7 linked regions of the Macaca fascicularis genome follow. The protein of the gene in region 4 interacts with the protein of the main gene of each other region in a pairwise test. Links are inferred from orthologs where the notes say so. Each region holds a gene or a part of one and is shown on either strand. Other genes may lie near its edges. The genes, in order: ETS1, TCF7L2, PARK7, DAXX, FAM9B, BTBD6 and MX1.

Evidence for each region.
Region 1: the proteins of DAXX (region 4) and ETS1 interact in binary tests that used the Homo sapiens proteins (3 or more experiments, as listed by UniProt). The link is inferred for Macaca fascicularis from reciprocal best matches to the Homo sapiens genes DAXX and ETS1.
Region 2: the proteins of DAXX (region 4) and TCF7L2 interact in binary tests that used the Homo sapiens proteins (3 or more experiments, as listed by UniProt). The link is inferred for Macaca fascicularis from reciprocal best matches to the Homo sapiens genes DAXX and TCF7L2.
Region 3: the proteins of DAXX (region 4) and PARK7 interact in binary tests that used the Homo sapiens proteins (3 or more experiments, as listed by UniProt). The link is inferred for Macaca fascicularis from reciprocal best matches to the Homo sapiens genes DAXX and PARK7.
Region 5: the proteins of DAXX (region 4) and FAM9B interact in binary tests that used the Homo sapiens proteins (3 or more experiments, as listed by UniProt). The two-hybrid records come from large-scale screens. The link is inferred for Macaca fascicularis from reciprocal best matches to the Homo sapiens genes DAXX and FAM9B.
Region 6: the proteins of DAXX (region 4) and BTBD6 interact in a two-hybrid assay, tested with the Homo sapiens proteins (2 studies listed by BioGRID and IntAct). The link is inferred for Macaca fascicularis from reciprocal best matches to the Homo sapiens genes DAXX and BTBD6.
Region 7: the proteins of DAXX (region 4) and MX1 interact in a two-hybrid assay, tested with the Homo sapiens proteins (2 studies listed by BioGRID). The link is inferred for Macaca fascicularis from reciprocal best matches to the Homo sapiens genes DAXX and MX1.

Annotation. Positions count from the first base shown.
Region 1 is NC_088388.1:127,004,279-127,007,778, reverse strand, and holds part of ETS1 (protein C-ets-1), read left to right. Parts: intron 1-1,359; coding exon 1,360-1,437; intron 1,438-2,424; coding exon 2,425-2,673; intron 2,674-3,500. UniProt on the Homo sapiens protein: Transcription factor. Directly controls the expression of cytokine and chemokine genes in a wide variety of different cellular contexts. May control the differentiation, survival and proliferation of lymphoid cells.
Region 2 is NC_088383.1:122,188,876-122,192,375, forward strand, and holds part of TCF7L2 (transcription factor 7-like 2), read left to right. Parts: intron 1-1,678; coding exon 1,679-1,781; intron 1,782-3,500. UniProt on the Homo sapiens protein: Participates in the Wnt signaling pathway and modulates MYC expression by binding to its promoter in a sequence-specific manner. Acts as a repressor in the absence of CTNNB1, and as activator in its presence.
Region 3 is NC_088375.1:226,909,073-226,912,572, reverse strand, and holds part of PARK7 (Parkinson disease protein 7), read left to right. Parts: intron 1-1,788; coding exon 1,789-1,890; intron 1,891-3,500. UniProt on the Homo sapiens protein: Multifunctional protein with controversial molecular function which plays an important role in cell protection against oxidative stress and cell death acting as oxidative stress sensor and redox-sensitive chaperone and protease.
Region 4 is NC_088378.1:138,379,598-138,383,706, forward strand, and holds the start of DAXX (death domain-associated protein 6), read left to right. Parts: upstream 1-1,309; 5' UTR 1,310-1,354; coding exon 1,355-1,407; intron 1,408-2,275; exon of another isoform or gene 2,276-2,328; coding exon of another isoform or gene 2,329-2,345; coding exon 2,346-2,535; intron 2,536-2,685; coding exon 2,686-3,517; intron 3,518-3,661; coding exon 3,662-3,870; intron 3,871-4,025; coding exon 4,026-4,109. UniProt on the Homo sapiens protein: Transcription corepressor known to repress transcriptional potential of several sumoylated transcription factors. Down-regulates basal and activated transcription.
Region 5 is NC_088395.1:8,685,657-8,689,627, reverse strand, and holds the start of FAM9B (protein FAM9B), read left to right. Parts: upstream 1-1,171; 5' UTR 1,172-1,456; intron 1,457-2,213; 5' UTR 2,214-2,302; coding exon 2,303-2,330; intron 2,331-2,832; coding exon 2,833-2,953; intron 2,954-3,132; coding exon 3,133-3,164; intron 3,165-3,971. UniProt on the Homo sapiens protein: May play a role in meiosis.
Region 6 is NC_088381.1:173,422,452-173,426,730, reverse strand, and holds BTBD6 (BTB/POZ domain-containing protein 6), read right to left. Parts: upstream 2,801-4,279; 5' UTR 2,622-2,800; coding exon 2,248-2,621; intron 2,177-2,247; coding exon 2,086-2,176; intron 1,979-2,085; coding exon 1,860-1,978; intron 1,697-1,859; coding exon 664-1,696; 3' UTR 264-663; downstream 1-263. UniProt on the Homo sapiens protein: Adapter protein for the cul3 E3 ubiquitin-protein ligase complex. Involved in late neuronal development and muscle formation.
Region 7 is NC_088377.1:5,550,138-5,552,592, reverse strand, and holds the end of MX1 (interferon-induced GTP-binding protein Mx1), read left to right. Parts: intron 1-1,263; coding exon 1,264-1,494; 3' UTR 1,495-1,955; downstream 1,956-2,455.

The sequences.
Region 1 (3,500 bases), on a different chromosome or scaffold from region 4:
ACATTGGGATTACAGGTGTGAGCCACCATGCCTGGCCTCAATATATTTTTATTTAACTTAAAATTTAACATCCCATCCTGTGCTTTTTGTATAATAATGTGGACTCACAGGGGCCTTTTGGCCCCTAAGACTGGTTTAGCCTCGCTTAGGGTAAAGGAAGAATGTAAGAAAATTTAAGAGAATTAGGATATAAGTTAGTATGTTTGAGAGCAAAAGCCTTATCATCCCACCCAATATTCTGTTGAGAGAGGCAGAAAGAATTCTCCCTCTTCAGGTTCAGTTACTTGACGAGATGAGCATGATGTTTGTGCTGAGACTACAGCTTTTGTTCTGTAACTAAACTAAAGCAACACAGCACCAAAAAAACATAGCTGTTTGGGGTGGGGTGGAAGGCCAGAGGTACGGGGATGTTTCAATCTGATAAACTGCTAAAGCAAAGTTTAATCATTTTATCTCAACTGGGAACTGTTTTTTCTGTGCAGGCATAAACTTGTTTTCTCATCAGACTTTGCTCCTAACAAGCTATCAAATACCTGAGGAAAAACCCAAACCCATACTCTCTTTATGTCAGATTCTTACGGTGAAATATAATCAGACTACTCCATACAAGAATTGGAGGCCATGGCATTTGTTCCAGGGTAATTAGAGGATCCCAGGCTCACTGCAGTGTTGTGCAGAGCTTTCTGTCCGCAGGTGCACTTTGTCTCCCTTCCTCTCCTTTTCCTAGGGGAGTTGGCATCTGGGCAGGAGCTTGGTTGGGTTGCTCTTCTCTCCCTTTATACAAGCCCAGTCACATTTCACCAAATGGAGTCACCTTACCAGTGTCCTGCTTCTTGTCTGGGCCTGAACTTGAAACCTGAGGGCAATGGGAAAAATACAAAACAAAAACCAGACATCTGTTAGAGGAAATGGAGAACATAAAATCTACTGCCTGAAGACTGCCATATATTTTTGAAAAGTTTTGAAATTGACCAGTTTGGGGGTTGGGGATTGATCCTGCTAACCTGTGATGTACTCAAGCCTTTGGCTCTAGTGTGGTCGACATACACGCAGTACGAATTCATTGAGAATGAATGCTGAATGCCTTCTCAGCCCTTAGAGATTACTCATGGATTCTCTTTCCAAGATACTAAATCCCATTTTGCAGCTACTGAAATAATAACTTTAGTCATATTTTTTTGATCTCATGTTTAGACAAGGTCACAGTCAGGATAGACTCAGATACCAACTCAGTTAATGAGTATGCAGATTTCTTAGAAAAGGGGTTGAGATCATTGTGTCTTTGCATCCAAGATCCTTTTAGGCCAAGCATGACTTGAATATTGACCTCGTTGTTCATTCCCTATCTGTTCATTACAGAGGATGTGAAACCATATCAAGTTAATGGAGTCAACCCAACCTATCCAGAATCCCGCTATACCTCGGATTACTTCATTAGTAAGTTCATTTCTACTCCTTTATAGGAAACTAGGAAAAGACCCCTATCTCCGTCGATCTCAGGCTTCTTCATAGTAATTCTATCAAAAATAATATCTTCTTAGATGTAGACTCTTCTTTGTTACTTTCTTTTATTATTTTCCACAAAGCACCAAGTTTCAACCTATATACATGTTTCATTAACCTACCAAGTTCCTACACACTAAGATCCTTCTCTGATACCTTCAACCTGAAAGTCATGCAGAGAGACTGCAACTGGACCCCCTAAACTTTTGTTCTGATTTGGTACTGTTCACTATGATGGCCAAAAGAGGGTTGGGTTAGGAATTTGATCTTGGCCTTTGTTGTTTCCTTTTTACTAGTGGAGATGACAGCATTTCCTCTAAAATCCTTCTTTAAGAGTGTGCTATGCAGCTTCAAATTCTATTAGAGGAAATACAGCCTTCTCCTTTTTCGCGTAAGATACCCCACCATACTGAAAGATAGCCTGAGGGAAAGAATGGCTGTAGGCCTGTTGCACTAATGTAAGCTCTGAGATATAGGAGCATCTTATCTGATGGCTCTGCTTTTAAAGGGAATATTAAACAGGTTTTATTTTTTAATTTTATCTTTTTACGTGATTACAATTTTTATTCCAGTAACACAATGATGTTAACTACCCTGTGTCAAGAGCTTATTGTGTGGGGAATGTTGTGGGCATTTTACCTATATCCTCATTTCATCTTCATTGCAGTGCTCCGGGAAAGATCGCAATCTCCCCCATTTTATAGATGAGAATGTGAAGTCAGGAAGTCAATTATCTTGTCAAGGGCCATAGCTATTTAGTAGTGGACAAGGTTAAAAACCCAAGCCTTTCTGATTTAAAGTATTTTCCCTTTATTCTCTAAGGAGCTTGTTCCACGTCATACGGCCTCTGTAGGCGGTGAAAAACTGCTTTTTTTAAGTACAAATCTCTCCTCTCTTTAATTGCAAACCCTTTGTTTCCAGGCTATGGTATCGAGCATGCCCAGTGTGTTCCACCATCCGAGTTCTCAGAGCCCAGCTTCATCACAGAGTCCTATCAGACGCTCCATCCCATCAGCTCGGAAGAGCTCCTCTCCCTCAAGTATGAGAACGACTACCCCTCAGTCATTCTCCGGGACCCTCTCCAGACAGACACCTTGCAGAACGACTACTTTGCTATCAAACAAGAAGTCGTCACCCCAGACAACATGTGCATGGGGAGAGCCAGTCGTGGTAGGTCATACTTCTTCTCTAAAAGCTCTTGGGTTTACAAGAATTACCTGACTCTGTGAGTGTTTTCAGGTTCCATTTTTTTTTTCTCATTTATTAGACATGTAGATTCCTCAGTTTCAGCCTTCCCATCTTAGAGTGTCCAGATGCTAAGAACTTTCCATCGTGGTGTTTTAGCCAAGTCCATTATTGTGGCAAAGGCCATGGGGTCCACAGTGAAATCAGAATCAGGCAATCTAAGAAATTAAATGTCTTACTTGGGCAAAATGTTTCCCTCAGTTAATAACTCTGGTTGAATTTGGTCACTTTGAAAGGTATGCTCTATTTTCCTTGAGGAGGACATAATCAAATAAAAATGGTTCAAGTGACCACCCTGGAAAACCCTTGAGCTTAGCATGTGTCCTGGTGCTCCTCCCAGAGGACTCCTGGGTCTGACCGTAGATCCTGGCTTGGTACCTGGAATGACCTCTGCTGGCCAGCCTGGGATCTTTAGCCTCCTGTGACTTTTTTGGTTTGGGAAGACACAAGATGGTTAACCAACGGTTTGTTTGGAACCAGTCATCAGCAGTGTGGTGAAAGTGTGTATTTAGCTAGAGGACCAGGGAAGGAGGTGGCCAGGGGTTTCCAAAAGAAGGTAGTTTTGTTAACATGACTATTATAATAATGATAAAATGTTCACTGTCAGTGAAGAAAATGTTTCAAAATAGAGCTGGTTGTCATAGAGCAAAAAAGGTAAAATGCACCCAATCTTTAGGAACAGGACATAAACACTCAGAGATACAACCTACCTAGTAAAGTGTCCAAATTGTTTTGTTTCTGAGAAAAATGCA
Region 2 (3,500 bases), on a different chromosome or scaffold from region 4:
ACCACACCCAACTCAGCAGCCCCTTTTTATCCCAGTCGTTCATTGACTGCTTTTTTCCCAAAGGGGAGAAGGAGAGAAGGTGGGGTTACTTTTAGTTCTCCTTCAACAAGATCTAAATCAGGCAGGCAGCCCCAGCTCCTGGTGGGGTGGTCTTGGGAGAACAGGTAAGCTTAGTGTGTGTCTTTCAGGCTACCCAGTATGTTGGTAGGAGTTTCCCTTCCCAGCTCAGTAATTGGAAGGATGGGTTTAAGTTGGTGATCACGCATCACTTCGTTAGAGGGGATTGGTAGTGCTGGGGTAGGTAGAGGGGATTGGTAGTGCTGGGGTAGGTAGGCTGCCTGGTTAGGCGGCCTTCACTGCCCCTGAAAGAAGCCACACATGAGCTGGGTTTTACTGGTCTCTGAGCCCCTTTGTGCTGGTGCAGGACTGAGCCTGGTGCTTGGATGCCTGGCCGCCTCCTCCAGCCGGCCCCAGGCTCCACCAGTGAATGGCAGCGTCAACGTCTCATTTAAATAATGGTAGTACAGGGAATAGCTTTTAAATGGTTATCGTAAAACATATGATTAACGTCTGTGGACTGTTTACTTTTCCTCTGCGAACATTCTTTCAAGTGTGCAAATGGCTCAGTGTAGGGTCCAAGCCCAGCTAATCTGTTTGGTTTTTGTAATAGAGAGAAAGCAATGTCTGCATGAAAATGTCACCCAGGGAGACTTAATTTACAGATTAAAAGCTTCCTGAATGAATTTTTTAAAAAATGAAGTCGTTTTCATCCACGAACATGCAGTCTGTTCCCTCCTTTACTCTGTTTTAATTCTGTGGTATTGTGCCTTTTGCCTCCCACTTCAACGGCACAGATCAGTTCTTCTCTGTCAGAGTCGACTGTAGAATGTGCTCCTGTGGAACTGGCAGGCATGCGGCGGCACGTACTTGCAGAATCCCCTCACGTGTGCCTTGTGAAGCTCTTAGCCCCTGCAACGCACAAGGTGCCCATTCAGCAGATGGGCTTACTCCCCACAGGTGACTCTGTCCCCTAGCGGATGAAGTTCCAGAATGGAGTACACAAGCCTCCAACACCTCCTTGTCTGTTCAGCTCTGGTTCTACCTTGGATAGGATGCCACATGGCATTTGATCAGTTTCTCCAGCTCATCCAAATAGAGGCGGAGACATTTTAGAGGAGTCACCATTTTTGAAAAAAAGCAAGGGTAGTAACCTTTTGAAGGCCACAGCTCAAAAAGTCTGTTAGAAATCAGAGGAGTAACTTTCGTGCAGGTAAGGCATGAAACTCCGCAGGGTGAAGGGCCCATGTTGTAAGAGCAACAGGGATTACCATTGCTTCATTCCCCACCAGCTGCCGAGCCTTTTTGAGGTTGTTTCTTTTAAACTTGAAACAATCACACCAGTCACGTGAGGCAGAAAGACCCAAGATGGCATATATCTGAGTCTACCCACTATCCCAGTCCATTTAGAAGGAGATAAACTAATTTTTCAAACTGAGGCTAAGGGAAAATGAGATGAAACCTACCAACAACTCTTAGGATTTGTAATCACAAATGAACCTTGTGTTAGGATTCCAGAAGAGATGCCTCTCTTCCTCCTCTTTCCCTGTTCCCATCCCCTAACGAGTTGCTCTTTCCCTCTCTCCCTCCTTTGTACCTAAAATGCTGCTTCTTCCCTCAGGAATCCCACGGCCTCCGCACCCTCCAGATATATCCCCGTATTACCCGCTATCGCCTGGCACCGTAGGACAAATCCCCCATCCGCTAGGATGGTTAGTACCACAGTAAGGAGTTCCATTTTTTAATTTCCTTTTTGTTTCTTACACGGGCATGCTTATTATTTATTCTGTACGTGTGTGTGTGTGTGTATGTGTGTGTTAGAAGCCAGGGTTGGGGAGGGGGCTGTGGGAGGGCACAGGAAAGGTGTTGCTGAGGTGTCCTGGCAAATCCATAGCCATTCAGATGGATTCTGTAGGAAAAGAGTTATTGGCACTTAGCATTTCGAGACCATGGTCCCCAAAGTCTCTGTGGACAGAGGTGCCCTGAAGATCCTTTGGGAATTGCAGAAGACTCCTGGGACTTCCACCCAATGAAGCTGATCATGGCCTTTCTGCTGTTGGCTTCCCAAACTGCAATCATGTCATTGGGTTGAGGCTGCCGAGTCCTCCCTTTTAGGTGTTACATATTTGAGGCCACGGAAGCGGGAACAAGAACTGCCTTGTTTTGAAATCCGGGGTTGGGATTAGGGCATGTTCTCGTATGATTCCAGGACACCCCACCTCATGCTGAGCATTAGTCCCAAGTTGACAACAGCAGTGGAAAGTTTTGTCTGTTGAGAAGCTCCTTGGGACTGAATCAGCATCTCTCTGAGAGTCTTTGCACGTGAATGACTGTGAACAGTGGGAATGGGGCAGTTGGAACTGTCATTGCAGCATGTGGGGCCTTCACAAGCATCAGTCCTAGTTCCTGGCAGTGCCAGATTATTTGACTGTCTTTTGCAACTTAAAAAAACTGTGTTTTAAATTCAGAGTAGAAAGGCCTTTGATGCATTAGCATACTGTGGCGGGTTGTGTGTATGTGTGTTTTTGCATGAGCACGTGTGTAATATGTGTTTCGTGGTTGTTTCTTTGGATATATTTCTCCTTGTTTGTCAGTGATCTGAACAACACAGGACAATACATTGAATGCTAAAAGGAATAAATCCTGGTAAAACTCAGGTTTGAGTCTTATGGAAGACGGCCTTACAAAGCCTTAAGGAAGATAACATTTTGGAGTGGCTTACCCCACAATTCTACCTGTATTTTTTTTTTTTTTTTGGTTTGTTTGTTTTTTTTAAAAAAAAAACAGATTGCATTATGTAGTAGCTATACCAAATACCAACCCCGGGTGTAGTTTCTGTTTCTTTGTCTCGCCTTATTTTTATTGGGAGGGTAGACAGGAACATGAGCTTGTGACCCATTTCTTCTAAATAGATGGGGCCAACCCTCAAATAGTTCTCAGTGATCATTTGCCCCATTCAGCTGATGGGGAGATATTTGAAGGCTAGATAAAAAGGAATAGCCAACTCAGACAACCCTCTGTCAGAAAAAGTTGTGTGTCTTTCATGAGGATGCTATTTTGCATGTTGCTGTATTTTTTAATTATTGTAATGAGGTGTGATTGTCTATTGGTTACCCACAATTCTTCTTGGGGACTCTCCCCCCGGTAACTCTTGTCAACACTTGTTAATTTGACAAAAGGCTACAAATTAAGCTCTGTTAATTTAATGTTTTCTCACCGAGATCTAAATACCGAAAGAGGCCCAAAGCGCAACTGAAGTCCTTTGATTCACTGTACTTTATTTTGGTATAAATTTACATTCATTATTGTTTTCCTTTGGATGTGTAGCCCTCAATTAGTGTGATGGCTCCATTAAAGCAAGCGAGACTTCGCCTTTAATTATTACAACAAAACACCTAGTTTCAGCTTGGGGAGAGGGTCTCTATTGACATAAGCAGAGGTTA
Region 3 (3,500 bases), on a different chromosome or scaffold from region 4:
TACAGGTGTCTGCCACCACACCCAGCTAATTTTTGTATTTTTAGTACAGATGGGGTTTCACCATGTTGACCATGTTGGTCTCGAACTCCTGGCTTCAAGTGACCCGCCTGCCTCAGCATTTTACAGTGCCATGATTACAGGCGTGAGCCACCATGCCCGGCCCCTCAGACTCATTTCTTAAGGAACAAATGCTTCGAAGAAATACAGTTGAAGCCTCCTTTGTAAATTTCTCCAGTCCCATGCCCCTTCTTCCTTGCTTAAAGAAAACTGCTGTCCTCGCAATCTTGTGTATCCATGCATGCATGTCTTTTTTTTTTTTTTTCTTGAGACAGAATCTCGCTCTGTCACCCAGGCTGGAGTGCAGTGGTGCGACCTTGGCTCACTGCAGCCTCTGCCTCCTGGGTTCAAGCAGTTCTCTGCCTCAGCCTCCCAAGTAGCTGGGATTACAGGCGTGCGCCACCATGCCTGGCTAATTTTTTGTATTTTTAATAGACGGGGTTTCACCATCTTGGCCAGGCTGGTCTTGAACTCTTGATCTCATGATCCACCCGCCTCGGCCTCCCAAAATGCTGTGATTACAGGTGTGAGCTACCGCACCTGCCTTTAAGGTAGTGTTTGACCGTGGTTCTCATTTTGCATGTTTATATATTCTCTCTCTCTCTCTCTAACAATAGTGAACACTGAAGTAGAACTAACTCTGTGCCAGGCATCATTCTAAGTGCTGATAAACCTTACAACAACCCTGTGAGTTAGATACCGTCATCCTCATTTTATGGTTGAAGAAACTGAGGTACAGAGACATTAAATAATGTACCCATGTCACACAGTAAGTCCAAAAGCCGGAGCTCAGACCCAGGCAGCCTGGCCCCAGAGTCTGTTAACCCTATACTCCTCTGGTTCTCAGAAATGAAGACATTATGTCGATTTAGTTTATTCATTTAAAATTGCTGCCTGATGTTGCACTGAATGCCACAATCTACCCATTCCTCTAATTACAGCATTACAATTCTGTAATAAGTATTCTTGTGTCGGTTTCCTTGTGCAAATGTGTGGAAGTTTTTTGAGGTTATATATCTAAAAGTAGAATTACTAGGCCGAAGGACTGCCCATAGTCAGCATGACTAGGTTTTGCCAAGTTGCTCTCCAGTGTCCCAGTTTGTAGTCCCACCAGCAATGTAGGAAAATTCCCACTTTCCCAGTGCCAGCTCTTGGTATTGTTGACTTTAAAAATTTTTGAAAGATAAAGCAGTATTTCATTGTTTTGACTTGCATTTCTATTTTACAAAAATACCATGAGGTTTAAATGGCAACAGTAAACTTGCAAGGTGAGTTATTAACAGGATGATCATATAACTGGTCACCCAAATCAGAACGTTTGTGGGAGAAAGGATGTCCAGTCACACAGGACAGGGCAGCAGCTATAAGTAGAGTCTGTCCAGGCAAACCAGGGCAGACCTAGTTATTAAGTATATTTAGCCAATGTATTAGTTCACATTTGATATAGTTGTGGTGCAGTATTTCCTACCATGTTACTTTCAAACAGGGCAGCTGTGTAAATGTTACTGTAGCTGGGTGTGGTGGCTCATGTCTGTAATCACAGCTACTTGGGAGGCTGAAGCAGGAGGATCGTTTAAGCGCAGGAGCTGGAGGCTGCAGTGAGCTATGATTGTGTTACTGCCCTCTAGCCCAGGTGACAGGGTGAGACCCCATCTCTATTTTTTTTTAAAGACAGTGTTAGTCTGAATTTATGTTTCAGTGTTCTTAACTATGATAACATCTTTCTTGTAGATTAAGGTCACCGTTGCAGGTCTGGCTGGAAAAGACCCAGTACAGTGTAGCCGTGATGTGGTCATTTGTCCTGATGCCAGTCTTGAAGATGCAAAAAAAGAGGTTTGTAATCCATACATGGAGGTATTCCTTCATACGGCTTCTTTGTTTCTTGAAATGTCTAAGACTGTTGTTAGCACAGACTCATTTTAGAAAATGATTTTGCTTGAATGTCTTCCCCTGACAGATTAAGAGGGTGAGGACTTTGTCTTTCTATTCTGTATCCATAGAATGTGGCAATTGCTTGCTACTGAATGTGCTCAGTAGGTGGGTGGCTGGGTAGATAGGTGGCCGGTTGGACGTGTGGCGAGATGGTTGAGTTGGTGCTTAGTTGGATGGCTGCATCGTTCTCCCATCAGTATTCTTCCGGCTTACACAGGTATCTTTGCCTCCTATTACACATTTTTACCTGCTATAAATCAACTGCCACATTTTCCATTCTTTTTTTTTCTTTTTTAGAGGCATGATCCCGCTCTGTCCCCTAGGCTGGAGTCCAGTGGTACAGTCACAGCTCACTGCAGCCTCAACCTCCCAGGTTCAAGCAATCCTCCCACCTCAACCCCCCAAGTAGCTGGGAATACAGGCATGTGCCATGCCCGGCCATTATTCTTTTTTCTAAAGATACTTTCAGAGTTCCACTTTAGTTGTGTTCCTTTTTCAGTATCTTTAGAATTATGACTCTTACGTTTAAGGACTATGGACACTTCTGGAAGCTAGCATCCCTTTCCTCAGAAACATGCTCCCCCACAGGCGCTTTTGCAGACTCCATCGTCAGGCAGGGTGACAGGAGTGTGGACTGTACCCTCTGACAGCAGAGTCATGGCGGGAAAGGAGGCAGAGTTGGCTCACGAATGGCTGGTTGTGCACTGCTGAGGAACCTGGAGTGCGATTCCCTGTGCTGTCCTCAGATACATAGGAAGAAGTTTAATCCTTTCTAATAAGTTCAGATTTTTCATTACTGGATTGTAGAAAATTAGACTGTTGGTATTTACATATGATTTGTTGAAACAAATTAAAAATGACAAGCAGAAGTAAATATTCCAGGCCAAGTGCAGTGGCTCACCTGTAATCCCAGCACTTTAGGAGGCCAAAGTGGGAGGATCACTTGGGGCCAGGAGTTTGAGACCACCCCGGGCAAGATAGTGAGACCCTTTCTCTGCAAATTAAAAATGTTAAAAGCCAGGCATGGTGGTGCACGCCTGTAGTTCTAGCTACTCAAGAGGCTGAGGCAAGAGGATCACTTGGGCTCAGACGATTGCTCGAGCCCAGGAATTTGAGACTGCAGCGAACTGTGGTTGTGCCATTGCCCTCAGCCTGGGTGACAGAGCAAGACCATGTCTCAAAAATAATAATAATAATTTTTTTTTCATTTCTGTTTGTGTTTGTGTCATATGGTGTCTGGCCATTTTAAAACAGTGATTACCTTTATTTTCAATCGACAGATAATAAGTGTACATATTCATGGGATGCGTGATGTTTCCGTGCATAATATATAGTGATTGGATCAGAGTAATTAGCATATCCATCATCTCAAACATTTCTTTGTGTTGGGAACGTTCAATATCCTCCTAACTATTTGAAGCTGTGATTATTAACTACAGTCATCCTACAGGGGTATAGAACACCAGAACCTATTCCTCCTATCTAGCTATAATTTTGTATCTTTTAACAAA
Region 4 (4,109 bases):
ATCCCTTACATCTCCCAAGTTCCAGTCCTCGCGGAGGTTTTTTATGTTCCCCATTTTGAAAGCTGTAGACTTTGACGACTGGAGAGAAGTGATGTGGGATTGTTCAATGGACGGGTGTTTGCGATTCTATGACTCAGCGTTAGGGATGTAGTAAATTCTGTGAACCTAGTTAAGCGGCAAGATGCCCACCACTTGTGGAAATGGGAATCTTTGCGATTGGGACCTTGTTAATCTTTCTGGTTTCCTCATAAGCTCACCTCTGGACCCAGCCTTGCCTCCACGACTCCCTCCAACCTCCCTAAACTCAACGAGGTGGGTATCAAGTCTGTTTCTTCATCCTTCATTCTTTTTTAACCTCTCCCAGAAGAGGAGGAGGAAACCCAAAGTATTTTATGAGCCTCATTTCGTTTCACAGCAGCCCTTGCAGAGGCTCAAACTCTCCTCCAAGCCCCACCCCATCATCGCCCATCCGCAGACCCTGGGCCTCCACGACAAAGCACGGCCTCACAGTCAGCACCGACGGCCCTTCGAGGACCCCCTCTGGAGGAGAACCATTCAGGTCCCAACCGTCTGGTCATTAGTTCTGTGGTGAAGCTTGAAAAGCAAATCAGCAACAATAGTAATAATAATAACACTTTTGTATGGCGCATTGTGCTTATTTGTACGCATGTGTTATAACGACTGTGGGACGCAGCACCTGGCAGTAGAAGCAGCTGCTGGACAGCGGCAAGGAGCGCGCCGCCCTTGCAGGGGAAGGGGCTGGGTCAGCCGAATAAGCCGTGGAAATGGGAACCTGGGGGACAGGAAAGCAGGGCCAGATAGCTTGCCAATAGCCTAGTTGAAGATAAAGGTTTTACTTCCCTTTTAAGAGACTTCTGCCATTCCCTGAAACCCTACGCAGCTTTGGAAAGCCCAATTCCTAAACCACCCTGTTCGGTTCCCCTGCCCCTCCTTGGAAAGGAGGCTCCGTTCTCCCCACGCGCTACTCGCCGGCGGTTGGACCCCAGGGAGGAAGTTTCTGATTGGCGGAGTCAGAGAAGCACCGGGTGAAAAGAGCTCCTCCGGCTGCGCACCGAAGTTCTGGCGTAGCCAGCGCCGTACGGCAAAATGGCGGCCCCCAGCTGCTTTGGGACGCCCGGGTTCGGGGAGACAAACTCCGACCTGGAAGACCGCGCTGACTATGTGGGCGGCACTGGAGGTGTTCGCGGGGCGGGCCTACGGCCGCTTCCGGCCACAGGAAGCCTTGTTCCGTACGACAATATGGCGGCGCTTAGTTGCATGCAGGCGGAAACTCTGTTGCTTCCGGTCCGTAGTGGGGCCTGCGGTGGGAGTGGGAAGGAAGGCGGAGGGAACCATGCGAGGTTCTGAGATCTGCGGCGAGGGTCGCCTCGAGAGACGGTTTCTGAGGTGGGGGCCGGATGGTGCGGGGATCAGAGGCGGGGGCGGGGATATCGAGGCAGAGGTATTGGGGAGAGCCGGGCTCTGAGTCTGAGGGGAAAACTGTGGTACCTTCCTATCCCTGAAAGGGAGTGGGGCGGCCGGGGGCTGAACTGGGGGAGGGGGATTTGGCGGGAAGCGCATCTACCGGACCGGCCGGACCCAGGGTTGGGATCTAAGAGGAATCGGGAGAGCGTAGCGCGGTGCGGGGGGACTTCTAATTAGTTACAGGTCTCCGAGAGAATGGGGAAAATTAGGGTGGGGTGAAAGGGAGGGGACTTGGGTAAAATATCTTCAACCTAAAGGCCCAGTTTGAGGAGACTCATCTGAGGGTGAAATACGGAGATAATTCAAGGAGGGGAAAAGAGAACGGACTGTTGGGAGGGAACCTCTTTCACCTCAGAGAGTCTAGGAGTTGGGGTGATCAGGATGGGGCGGGTGTGGGGTTGACTTGTTTGAGGGCAGAGGGGGCAAACACATGAGGTGGCGCCCACAGGAGTGTGTTGTCTGTGCCAGGGGGTGTCAGGACGATTTAGGGTGCAGTGTGGGAGAAAGAACCAACTTGCCAACTCTGAGAAAGAGTGGGGAAATGCAACAGAAAGACCGGAAATCGACGTGAGGGGTGGAGCAGAAGGTGGCAACTTAAGGTGTGGGGGGGTTTGCCCCCCCCACACACCACTTGAAGGGCCCGAAAAGCATATAGAACTAATGGTTATTGAAATCAGGTGGTGAAGACAGTGTTGGTCAGGGCTGAAACCCAAGGAGTTCAGAAAATGCGTGAGGTGAAGGGATGGGGCTATGCTGGAGGGGCTCATTCTGAGGCCCCATCCCCTTCCAGCAGGAATTCTGAAATCCCCACCACTTCCTCCTTCCGGGGGATTTGATTCCCCCATGGCCACCGCTAACAGCATCATTGTGCTGGATGATGATGACGAAGATGAAGCAGCTGCTCAGCCAGGGCCCTCCCACCCACTCCCCAGTACAGCCTCACCAGGGGCAGAAGCCCCTAGCTCTTCTGAGCCTCATGGGGCCAGAGGAAGCAGTAGTTCGGGCGGCAAGAAGTGCTACAAGCTGGAGAATGAGAAGCTGTTCCAAGAGGTGAGCTTTAGCGGGGAAGATCGTTGTACCCCAGGGAGGGGGATGGCTGACTGGCTCTCCTGTCCTTTCTTCCCCACTAACCCCACTCCCCTTTCTCTCAACCCCCTCCCTTGTCTCTCTTCCCCTTCCTTCTTCCCCTGAACCTTCTAGTTCCTTGAACTTTGTAAGACGCAGACAGCGGACCACCCTGAGGTGGTCCCATTCCTCTCTAACCGGCAGCAACGTGCCCACTCTCTGTTTTTGGCCTCGGCGGAGTTCTGCAACATCCTCTCTCGGGTCCTATCTCGGGCCCAGAGCCGGCCATCTAAGCTCTATGTCTACATCAATGAGCTCTGCACTGTTCTCAAGGCCCACTCAGCCAAAAAGAAGCTGAACTTGGCCCCTGCTGCCACCACGTCCAATGAGCCCTCTGGGAATAACCCTCCCACACACCTCTCCTTGGACCCCACAAACGCTGAAAACACTGCCTCTCAGGCCCCAAGGACCCGTGGTTCCCGGCGGCAGATCCAGCGCTTGGAGCAGCTGCTGGCGCTCTATGTGGCAGAGATCCGGCGGCTGCAGGAAAAGGAGTTGGATCTCTCAGAATTGGATGACCCAGACTCCACATACCTGCAGGAGGCACGGTTGAAGCGTAAGCTGATCCGCCTCTTTGGGCGACTATGTGAGCTGAAAGACTGCTCTTCACTGACCGGCCGTGTCATAGAGCAGCGCATCACCTACCGTGGCACCCGCTACCCAGAGGTTAACAGGCGCATTGAGCGGCTCATCAACAAGCCAGGGCCTGATACCTTCCCTGACTATGGGGATGTGCTTCGGGCAGTAGAGAAGGCAGCTGCCCGACACAGCCTTGGCCTCCCCCGACAGCAGCTCCAGCTCATGGCTCAGGATGCCTTCCGAGATGTGGGCATCAGGTTACAGGAACGACGTCACCTCGATCTCATCTACAACTTTGGCTGCCACCTCACAGATGACTATAGGCCAGGTAGGGGGTTAGTGGGATGCCTCTCAGTGACCCTTATATGTCAGGTATGAGGCGGATGGGGCATCTCTCTAGTCCTTTCTAGGGTTTGTACTCTTCTAGTCCCTTCCACGGCTGAGTGCTCTGACTTTATATTTTCCCACGTAGGCATTGACCCTGCACTATCAGATCCTGTGTTGGCCCGGCGCCTTCGGGAAAACCGGAGTTTGGCCATGAGTCGGCTGGATGAGGTCATCTCCAAATATGCAATGTTGCAAGACAAAAGTGAGGAGGGCGAGAGAAAAAAGAGAAGAGCTCGGCTCCAAGGCACCTCTTCCCACTCTGAAGACACCCCCGCCTCCTTGGATTCTGGTGAGGTGTGGATGGGGTAAAGCCTTCAGAGAGACATTGTCCTTCCCCTGCACTGGCCACCAGGGAGTCCAGGTTGACTGATGGGGGAGCATGAGAAGGAATGCAAGAACCAAACCCTCTAGGGCAAGGGATTCCTTAGAGAAACTTCTTTGTCCCCCAGGGCCCTAGTGGAATGGCATCCCAGGGGTGCCCTTCTGCCTCCAAAGCTGAGACAGATGACGAAGAAGATGAAGAGAGTGATGAG
Region 5 (3,971 bases), on a different chromosome or scaffold from region 4:
TCTCTGGAGTATTTTCTTTATTTTCCAACTTTTACTACAGGATTTGTGTTCTTTGTGTGTGCTCTTTTTGGTTATATAGACATTTAAGGCTGTGGATTAGTTTTCCTGATGACTGCCTTTGTAATTTCTTTTCTTTTCTTTTTTTTTGAGGTGGAGTCTCGCTCTGTCGCCAGGGTTTCACCGTGTTAGTCAGGATGGTCTCGATCTCCTGACCTTGTGATCTGCCCGTCTCAGCCTCCCAAAGTGCTGGGATATAATTTCAATAATATAATGAAACTCTATATCTTGATTTACAAACTTTAGGCAATATTTATTTACTCCTAACTCCAAAACAACTCTCCCCCTATTATAGGCGACTGGAGGTGGGAAAAAGCTGAGTTAACGATAAGTATTAAGGCATTAATTTGTGGGTGAAGGTTGTGGCATATGTCTGGATAAGTCTGGAGCATGAGGGTTTGTGGGCAAGTCTGGGGCATGAGGATGAGAAAGAAAAGTAGTGAGGAAACAAAAATGGTTATGGGCAGGGCACGGTGGCTCATGCCTGTAATCCTAGCACTTTGGGAGGCCAAGGCGTGCAGATCAACTGAGGTCAGGAGTTTGACACCAGCCTGGACAACATGGTGAAACCTCGTCTCTACTAAAAAAAAAAAAAAAATTAGCAGGGCTTGGTGTTGGGCTCCTGTAATTCCAGCTCCTTGGGAGGCTGAGGCAGGAGAATCACTTGAACCCGGGAAGCGGAGGTTGCAGTGAGCTGAGATCACCCTGCTGCACTCCAGCCTAGGCGATAGAGTGAGACACAGTCTCAAAAACAAACAAAAACAATAAAAGCACAATCCATTGATTGAAAAGGATGCAGCTGGGCATGTTGGAAGCACACAGGGCATGGGAGGGAGCCTGGGCCCAACCCATAGGATGATGGCCATTCTAGCCAAAGGGGCAGGGGTGGCTGGAAAGAGCCCCAGGGCGAGGTTCTAGGCCCTGTCCACTTGGCCTCCATACCAAGTCCTGTGTCCCTCCCCAGGAGCAGAAGCTGAAAGAATGTGGGAACAGAGGCCCCAAAGGGCCAACCCCACCTCAGTCCACAGCAACCACTTGCTGTCACTTAGGGGAAGGGGGAGGGCGTGCCAGCAGGGGGCGTGGCCCCACACGGCCTGTCACACGCATGTGCACTGAGTCGACCAATCTGCGAGGAGCGTAGGAAGTGCTGTCGGCAGCTCTCACGAGAACTGAGTACTTGTTTTCTTTTTTGTTTTTTGTTTTTTGTTTTTTGAGACAGTCTGGCTCTTGCCGCCCAGGCTGCAGTGCAGCCGCGCGATCTGGGCTCACTGCAACTTCCGCCTCCCGGGGTCAAGCAATCATTCTGCCTCAGCCTCCTGAGAGGACCCGTTTTCTAAGAGATCCTAGTGGTGCTGTTGTCTGCAGGTTCTTTGAGGGCGCCACATCAGGGGTCCCTCAGGTGAAGCGCTCGCGGTGGGGAGGCGGAAACGCAGGCACGAGGCCCTCTGGGAACCAGGGTGTGAAGCGCTGGGCCGCCCGCTGACCTGTGAGGAAATGCCCCTGGCGTGGTCGCCTGGGGCCTGGGTCAGGGCGAGGCCCTGAGGGTGGGCTGGGGTGGGCCAGGGCAGGGAGGGAGCTGGAGCCGCCTGGGTGATCCCTAGGGCCCAGGAGGGCTTGTGCATGTGTTGGGGGGAGGTGCGGAAGGTGGGGGGAAGTGGGGGTGGGGCGAGGGTGTTGTTGGGGACAGTCTGAGTGGGGCCCTCCTGCCCGGCCTCCCGTCAGGACAGGACACTTGGGGTCATCAGGGGTCCCCTGTGCATCCAGGCGGGTGAGTGACAGTGCAGCCCCTGACATTCCTCTGGAGGTGGCTGGGGAGATCCTGTGTCACCCGGTGGCCCTCCCAGCCACACGGGGTCGCTGGGGGACCCAGAGGTAGGGCTGAGTTCTGTCCCAAAGGTGCGGCGAGGATCCCGCAGACGCCGTGGAGTTCAGGTGTGAGGGGCAGCTGTGAGCTCTGCAGCCAGCCCCGGGGACGGGCTGGACGGGCTGGACGGGCCAGGACAGGAGGGGACACTGGCATCTTTTCGGTCCCCTCCTGCTCCCACAGGAGGCCCAGGGCGTGCCAGCCCCACCCTTCTTAAACCTGTGATCCCAATGGCTTTCCTTTCCGATGCCAGGGTTCCTTTGCTTCCTTAGTGTGCCTTTGCCCTCATCAGGTTCAGGGATCACCTGTAGCTTCCCAGGACAGCCAGCCACGGATCCTGTGGGCAGGAGGGCTGCCAAGGCCCAGTTGGAGGCTCAATTTATGGCGGCCCAGGGGAAGGAGCGTGCAGGTAAATACAGCCCAAGGTGACCCGGAAGAAAGTGCACGCCCAAGAGGACGGTCTGTCTGCTTTCTGCGCTGGGGGCACAGGGGTAGCCCAAGGACCCGGGCCCCTTCGTGGCTTTGGAGTCCATCGTGCACGTGCTAAGATGCCCCAGGTTTTCAAAGCAGGCTCAAGGGCCTTAGGCTTCCCGTAAAAGGCTCCCCTCATAGCGGGGTTACAGATGCTCCCAGAGCAGCTCTTCTCCATGAGTGCAGTCATGACATCCAAGGGGTCTGACGTGTAGTACGTTGTTTACTGGGACTTGAACCCGAAGGGCTTCCAAAAGTGCCTTGATAAAATGGTCAGAAGCCGGTGATTCCATGTACAGCTCTGCTTTAAAGCCTTAATTGGCAGATAGCCAAAAAAAAAAAAAAAAAAAAAAAGTCTACAACTAGTACATTTCTCCACAAAAAAAGTCCACAACAGTGTCTTCCTCTAAAAAAGGTTTGTCTTTTAAATTTTAATGCAGGAAAGGATCCAGTCAGTGACGAATGTGAGGAAAGAAACCCTTTTACAGAAACAAGGGAGGAAGATGTAACTGATGAGCATGGGGAAAGAGAACCTTTTGCTGAAAAAGACGAGCACACGGGGTAAAGTGTTTAAGTCACTTTTGCCTGTCGGATAGGGTCTTTTAGGAAAAGTCACCTTTGGACCATGTCATCACTGTTCTATTCTGTGCAGAACATTTCACATAAGACATTTCTTTTCCCAACAAACATGGCATTTTGTGTAGTATTATGCTAAAATTTTGATGTAACTTTTTTTACAGGGCTAATACCAAGAAGCCAGAAGATACTGCAGGTATATTTTAGGAGTTATCTGTCGTTTATGAAAATTGTTTTCAATCATGCAACTGTTGCAGTAAGTTATATGAATCAGTGGATGACAAGACTGTCTTAAATGGCTTATCATATGTAGCATTTAACATACGTATTTAATGTAATCTGTTTGATAAATTTTTCTTACCTCTTTGATTGTTGATGTGGAATGTGAGAATGCTTCTAATAATGGTGAAGCGAGATGGATGGCTTTTCTTTCATACACGTGGAAATTTAATTGTTTGGAGAATATTAGAGGACATTGGAGGAGAAATAGCTCTATTCGTTCCTTTTAGTGTACGCAGATTAAGTCATATATCAGGTTTTTTTTAAGCTTTCACTTTAAGTTTGGGGGTACATGTGCAGGTGTGTTATATAGATAAATTGCATGTCACAGGGTTTTGGTATACAGATTATTTTGTCACCCAGGTTATAAGCATAGTACCTGATGGGTGGTTTTTGATCCTCACCCTCCTCCTACCCTCCACTCTCAAGTAGGCCCAGTTGTCTGTTGGTCCCTTCTTCCTGTCCATATGTACTCAGAGTTTTTAATAAGAGTTTTTCATGTTCTTAATTTAGCTATTCTATTGTCACAGCTTTCTGATTTTGTTTTATTTGAAGTACAAGAGAAAATTGAATTCTCTAAAATCATTTTCTATTATTATTCCAGTAATAAACTGTGTAGTACAAAAGTAAGGACAACTTTTCTATCTAGTGAGAAACATGTAATTGGATCCAAAAACTCATAAACTTTATATTGCTGTGTGAAATATTAGTTGCACTGTTATAG
Region 6 (4,279 bases), on a different chromosome or scaffold from region 4:
ACAGTCCGTTCATAGGGTAGGACTCTGAGGTGCTAGTGATGCATTAGGACATAGAGACAACTAGGCACCTGGTGTTTCCCAGGGTGGCCCGGAAGCCAGCCAGCGACCCAGGGGACGGATGGGCTTCACTGGGGTGCAGTTTGCTCCAGACCACGTAGCATGTTCAGCATGACAGCTTTTCTCCTCGGGATGGGAGCTGTTCTGTTGCATGAGAAAGAGAATACCCCACTGTACAACTGTAGTCATTTACTGACACACGAGTGTTATTTTAGGCAACCTTTATTACAGAAGTCCACTATTTTAAGTGACTTTTTGCCGATTTTAGATTTGAAGGGAAGGTCTCAAGTTAAGCTTGGAACCACTTAGAATCCAAGAGGTGGCAGGAACATCCAACCCCTCAAAGCAGGTGGCGTGGGTGCCACTGGGAGGGGATCTGGGGCCTGCCTTGTGCCCTCAATCTTCCTCCACCTGAGATGTGCACCCCAGTGTACCAGAGATGCCTATGACTCCAATCCCCAGGCTCTGGCTGTGTGGAAAAGGCCTCTACTTTACACAATCAAGTTTCAGCTGACTACATGTCAGAGAGAGACAAGGCTAAGAGCAGTTAGTACATTGACTTCCGCTCCGCTCACTTGCCGATCTGCTGCAGCCTCCCCGGGCACCTCAGGCGTAGAAGATGAGCTCAGGGATCTGCCCACCCTGGACCCCAGTCCCGTTGGTGCTATCCGAGGAGCACTGGAACTGGAAGGCCACCTTTCCGCACTGCACTTCCGTCATCCCCTCCTGCCCAAAGTAGCTGAGTTCGCTGCCATCCAGGACGGCACTGGCCGTGTAGAAGGTGTCTTGTTCAACCTGGACCGGGTGTTCAAACCAGACCGGGAAGGTGTTACTGGATCCGTCTGACATGAACTTGGTCAGGTTCTGAGCCAGAACCACCCCGAGCCGCTTGAGCTCAATCTTCACGCTGTACTCAGCCTTCCCAGAGCTGGACCCATACAGGCCCAGCCCTGCAATAAATACCCTTCTGTCCACTGCAAACTGGATGCTGTCACAGCGCCCGCGGTACCGCCACTGGTTGCTGCGGTAGGCAGAAGACTGGAATCGGTGGCACCTCTGCGGGGCGAGGCCCTTCCTCTTGGTCAGGGGGAAGTCCAGGCGGGGCTTGTTGGTGGCCGTGTACCACAGGAAGATGCTGTGGGTCTCCTCCAGAGTCAGGATGTCTGACTGGGCAGCGCCATTGGCAAACTCCTCTAGGGTCATGGTTGGAATTCGAACCAGATAGAGGGCTCGCCCCAAAACATGCCTCTTGTTTCGTGGGGTGACTGGCAGCCCCTGCCTCTTGCACTCTGCCTCGGCCCAGTTCAGGACGGCCTCGAAGACCACTGCCTCCTTGGTGTTGAGGGCCTCCCGAGTGACAATAATCTCCAGCGTCTGCCGGTCTATCTCACAGAAGCCTTCGGACCGTAGGGCCATCTCGGCCTGTGCATCGATGACCTCCCAGCAGCGCTGCGTCAGCTCAGGCTCCTCAAACAGCCGGCTCTGGGACAGCAAGACACAGGCGTTCTTGGCTTCCAAACTTGTCTCCAGAAAGTTGACACAAGCTTTTGCCAATGCTGGGACGATGTACTTCTTAGCAGCGTAGAGAGTGGCCAGCACCGTGTCAGCTTCCAGATCGATCTCATCACTGTACATGTACCTAGGCGAGGCAAGGCCCGCGTCAGGGGCTGGCTCCCAAGCACCTATTGCGGGGCTGGGCCTGGGAGAGTCGTCCATCAGCTCCTGTGTGCTCCCCCTCAGAAGCCACGGGAGGCCGCCTAGAACGGAACCACCCGTCCTTCCCCAGTACAGAGTGGACTTACTTTAACAGGATCAGAAAGGCTGCGGGCTCCACGTCGGGAATGTGAATTTCAGATTTGACTTCCGCCAGGTCCCCGTAGAACATGGCATAGAAGACGGAGCTTCCGACAGCCAGGACGTACTGGGAGGAGAAAGCGCCGCCGTGAGCCTGGCTGTCCCGCGGGCTGCGGGCAGCCACACGGCAGGCGGGGCACGCCTTCCGAGAGGGGAGGGGTCGCCGCTACCCACCTTGTGGGCGGGCACCGTCCTGGTCGCCCCCGGGGGCCCCACGACGAAGTGCACGTCGGCCATGAGCTCGTTGTTAAACATGAGCGCGTTCCTGCAAAGGCAGAGGCACGGGCTGGGGGCGCGGGCGCGCGCGGGTGCGCGGGCCGCGGGGGGCGGGCTCACCTCTCGCGCAGCGTGGGGCGGCAGCACCGCCAGCCGGGGCTTTCCGGGTGGTTGTTGCCGAGTGTGGGGGGCGCGGGCGCGGGCGGCGGGGGCGCGGGCGCGGGGGCGCTGGGCGGGCTGCGCGGCCCGGCCTTCCTGCCCACGGCGGCACCGGCGTTGCTGTTGGCGAGGTCCGCGGCCGCGGCGCTGGCGGGGGCGTAGAGCTCCGCCGCCATCTTCGCGGGCGGGGCGGCGGGGGTGGCCTCGGCGCCTGTGGACGCCGCGCCCCGCGCCCTCGCACCGCGCCGGGGCCTTGGGAGCGGCTCTGCAAGCAAAAGCAGGGAGGTCAGGCACTGAGCAACGCGGCCATGCAGGCAGGCCAGGGGCAGCAGCATGGGCGGCGGCGGCGCTGCGACCCGCGGGGTTGCCACCCGCTCCCTTGCCACCCCCGCCCCTGCGACCCTGCGACCCTGCCCGAGCCCAGCCTAGCGCAGCCCGGCCAGGCCCGGCCGCAGGGGGCGCCGTCCCGCCCGCCTGAGCCTGTACCCGCCGCGGCGCCGGCGCGTCACGCTGCGTCAGGGCCGCGCCCCGCGCGACGACGCTGCTGCGCGGCCCCGCCCCCAGGCCCGACAGCCTGGGAGCTGCTGGAGTTTCCGTGCGCTGCAACCGGCGGAAGACGCGCACTGTGCAGAGGTCACCGTGGAAGGCGGCTCCCGGCTCTGGCAGGCGGCTGCCCCCAGACCCGCAGTGCCATGCGCAGGTGCTTGCGCCCGTTCTTTAGTTAGTGATCTTTTGGTTAGGAACGCAGGTGGACCTGCTTGTTGGCCGTTTGCATTCCGGAGTCTGTGCCTCTGGCCGAGGCTTGTCGGATGGTCGTAGGGCTTCCTCGTTGGTTCGGATGCCTAGTGAGTTAGCTTACTGCAGACGCCAGCAGCAAACGCTCGCGGAGAGCGCGGTCCACTCTGCTCTGAGGGCTTTCACGGGCAGGAGCTGCTATTTCCTCGCATTTTCCTCGAGGAAATGGGCACAGAGAGGTTAGTCGCGTGCTGAAGGTCACACAGCGGGCGGTTGGGCAAGTCAGGATCTGGCTCCAGGCCTGCAGCCTTGGAGCTTGGGCCCCAGGGCGCGCCCTGCCTCTGTGGCTCTGCCTGTGGATCACAGTCGCAGGCTCGTTCCCTATGGGGCCTCTAGCCTCCCAGCCTGGAGCTAATCTTGGGAGGTGCGTGACAGTGGGCACTGGCTTTGCCGATGTGGAGACCAGACTCCAGAGACTGTGTCACCTGGCTTGGTCTGCACAGCCGGTGCACGCCAAGCTCGCGTGCAGACGAAGCTCCAGAGTCCTGGCTGTCAGGAGAGTTCCTCCCCGAGGACACACATGCAACCTTCTGGACCTCCAGGCTTCAGACTTTCAAAACTCCCATATATAGGAAAGCCCCCAGGACGCAGCCAGCAGCTCGGGTCATGGGTGCACCCATCACAGCAGTCCTGGGCGGAACAGTGAATAGGAGCTCTGTGTCTCTGGTCGTTACAGTTGTAGTAAATGTTCCCTGTAGTAAGAGTCCCCTTCGGAAGATATTTGCCGTATTTTCAACAAAAGACTCTCCAGGATTAATGAGCGACTACAAGTCAGGAAGGAAAAGGCTGACAATCCAGGTTTTTTAAAAAACGGGCAAAGGACGTGAACAGACACTATGCAATGACCCAGAGTGCACACATCATCATTTCGCCTGGGAATGGGGCTCCTGAGCCCCCAGGCGGCTGAACTTGAGACTTGTCACGCCAGTGTTGGTGGAACACGGAGCAGCTAGAGGTCACCTGCTGCAGGTGGGCGTGTAACTCCGCAGGGCCAAGCAGGGCCAAGCCCTTTGGAAAGCCGTAGCACATGCATGAGGGTCCAGAAAGTCCCAAGAGAAAGTGTGTGGATGCACCTACCAAGGACACACCCAGAGAGGCCACAGCTGCGATTTCATAGTGTGGGACCACACTGGCAAAGACGCACTGGCTGCTGTGGCCATGGTTTCTGTCCCAGCCATCTATTTCCATAGGAAAAGGT
Region 7 (2,455 bases), on a different chromosome or scaffold from region 4:
CTGTCAAGCAGCTTTTCTCCCTCTGTGTCTCCTGTTCGTTGGTGTTAGATGTGATTTTGGTATATGAGCTTTAGATGTATCAATGCCATACCTCACACCCGTCCTGACTCTTACTGTTTGTAGCAGTTTTGCAGCTGATTCTCCTCGGTTCTCCTGGTGAGTACTCACACCGTCTGCCCCTGTCTGGGGCTCCAGCATTGCCCTGAATGCCTGCCTTCAGCCTGGTGCTGTCTCCTTTCCCCCATTTCCAGGTGGTGACCGCCCCGCCTCTCGGTCACTCTGGTCACAGAACATGGATCGGGAGTTCCGCCTCAGTCTCACCAGTACGAAGTGCTTATTACATGCCTGGCATCTTTCTAAACTTGCATCTTTCTAAAATTTCATCTTTTAACTCCTTTAATACTTTTAATCACCCCATGAGACCAGTGCCTCACATTAGCCCTGTTTTATAGAGAAGATACCAGAACCTTGCTGAGGGACCAGTACACTGCAACTTCCTGAGATCCACCCATCCTGGGAAAGAAGAAAGTTTTGCTAATAGGTGGGACTTTGGGGAGGGAGAAAGGAAGTGGTAGAAACTGTCTACATGCAGGTAACTCAGGCAGCTCCATTCCGTGGCATTTGAAAGCCCAATGTTTTTTTCTACTGAGTCACTTGAGTGTTGATTAAAAATAAGCAGCAGCCTTCAAATCTCTTTGGCAGACTTGTAAATAATTTGGAAATGCAGTTTTTTTTTCTTTCTTTTTTAAATTTTTTTGAGATAGAGTCTTGCTCTGTCGCCCAGACTGGAGTGCAGTGGCGCAATCTTGGCCTCCGGGGTTCAAGTGATTCTCCTGCCTCAGCCTCCCGAGTAGCTGGAACTACAGGCACGTGCCACCACACCTGGCTAGTTTTTGTATTTTTAATAGAGAGGCGGTTTCACCACATTGACCAGGCTGGTCTGGAAATGCAGTTTTTGCACTGTCTGCCTGCTTACCTTTATAGAGCATATTTTGCCCCCTTCCATCAGAGGTACCCATTTAATGGTCAGGAAAAGCTGGTGGGAATATGACTCATAGCTGGGACATTCTCTGCACTGTGCATTGTTCCTCTTTGCCACCACCATGGAGGAGATTGGTGGGTTTGAAACCCAGGGAAAGGTCCTTGCCTCGCGAGGGTGTCCCTCATTGAGAATCTGGATCCGCTGATGTGCACATGGTGAAGTCAGAGTCCCTTCCTCACAGTGTCCCCTCCACCCTCCCATGAACTGTTCTTTCCTTCCAGGAGGCCAGCAAGCGCATCTCCAGCCACATCCCTTTGATCATCCAGTTCTTCATGCTCCAGACGTATGGCCAGCAGCTTCAGAAGGCCATGCTGCAGCTCCTGCAGGACAAGGACACCTATAGCTGGCTCCTGAAGGAGCGGAGCGACACCAGCGACAAGCGGAAGTTCCTGAAGGAGAGACTTGCACGGCTGACGCAAGCTCGGCGCCGGCTCGCCCAGTTCCCTGGCTAACCACGCTCTGTCCAGCCCTGTAGAGGTACACTCACACCGTCTGCCCCTGTTCCCAGGTAACCACTGAACAGACTACTTGAGTGCTCAGTAGTCAGACTTGATAGTCACAGTCTCTGCTTATCCATTAGCCCATGGCAATTTAGCAAGAAGCTGTGAGAGCAGTTTGGTTTCCAGCATGAAGACAAAGCCCCACCCTCAGATGCACATGAGCTGGTGGGGATGAAGGATGCTGTCTTTGTACTGGGAAAGGGATTTTCAGCCCTCAGAATTGCTCCGCCTGGCAGCTCTTCCCCTTCTCTGTATTCTTAGGAGCTGACATGGGCTGAGCATCACAGAAGCTTATTTCCTGGTGTTTGTAATGTCCCTACACCAATCCAGTGTTTTAGGAGCATGAGTGCCATGTGTGTCAGTCCTGTCAGAGCCCTGTCTCCTCCGTTTGTAATAAACTTATTTCTAGTGGACACGGCTCTGCCATGTTTTGTATTTTGGGGAGAAGCCTGAAACTAGCAGGTAGGACGCAATGGAGCAGTCGGCGCTAAAGCTGCCCTCCATGGCGGGGCCAGGTAGGAGCGAGCAAAAGAACAGGGTCTGATGATTTCCTACAGACTGGAGGGAAATGGGGGAGCACACTTTAAAAAAAATGAAACAATATGAAGCCAGCGGTGCTAACTGTTAATAATGTGCATTGATCAAGTGTCCAATTTGTTGAGTCACTGGGTACCTAGCATGGAGTTGAAAAGCACAAGGTCCAGTCAAGAAGAGGTTGCCAGGCCAGGTGCGGTGGCTCACGCTGTAATCCCAGCACTTTGGGAGGCCAAGAGTTCAGGACTAGCCTGACCAATATGGTGAAACCCCGTCTGTACTAAAAATCCAAAAATTAGCTGGGTGTGGTGGCATGTGTCTATAGTCCCAGCTACTCGGGAGGCGGAGACAGGAGAATTGCTTGAACCCAGGAGGTGGA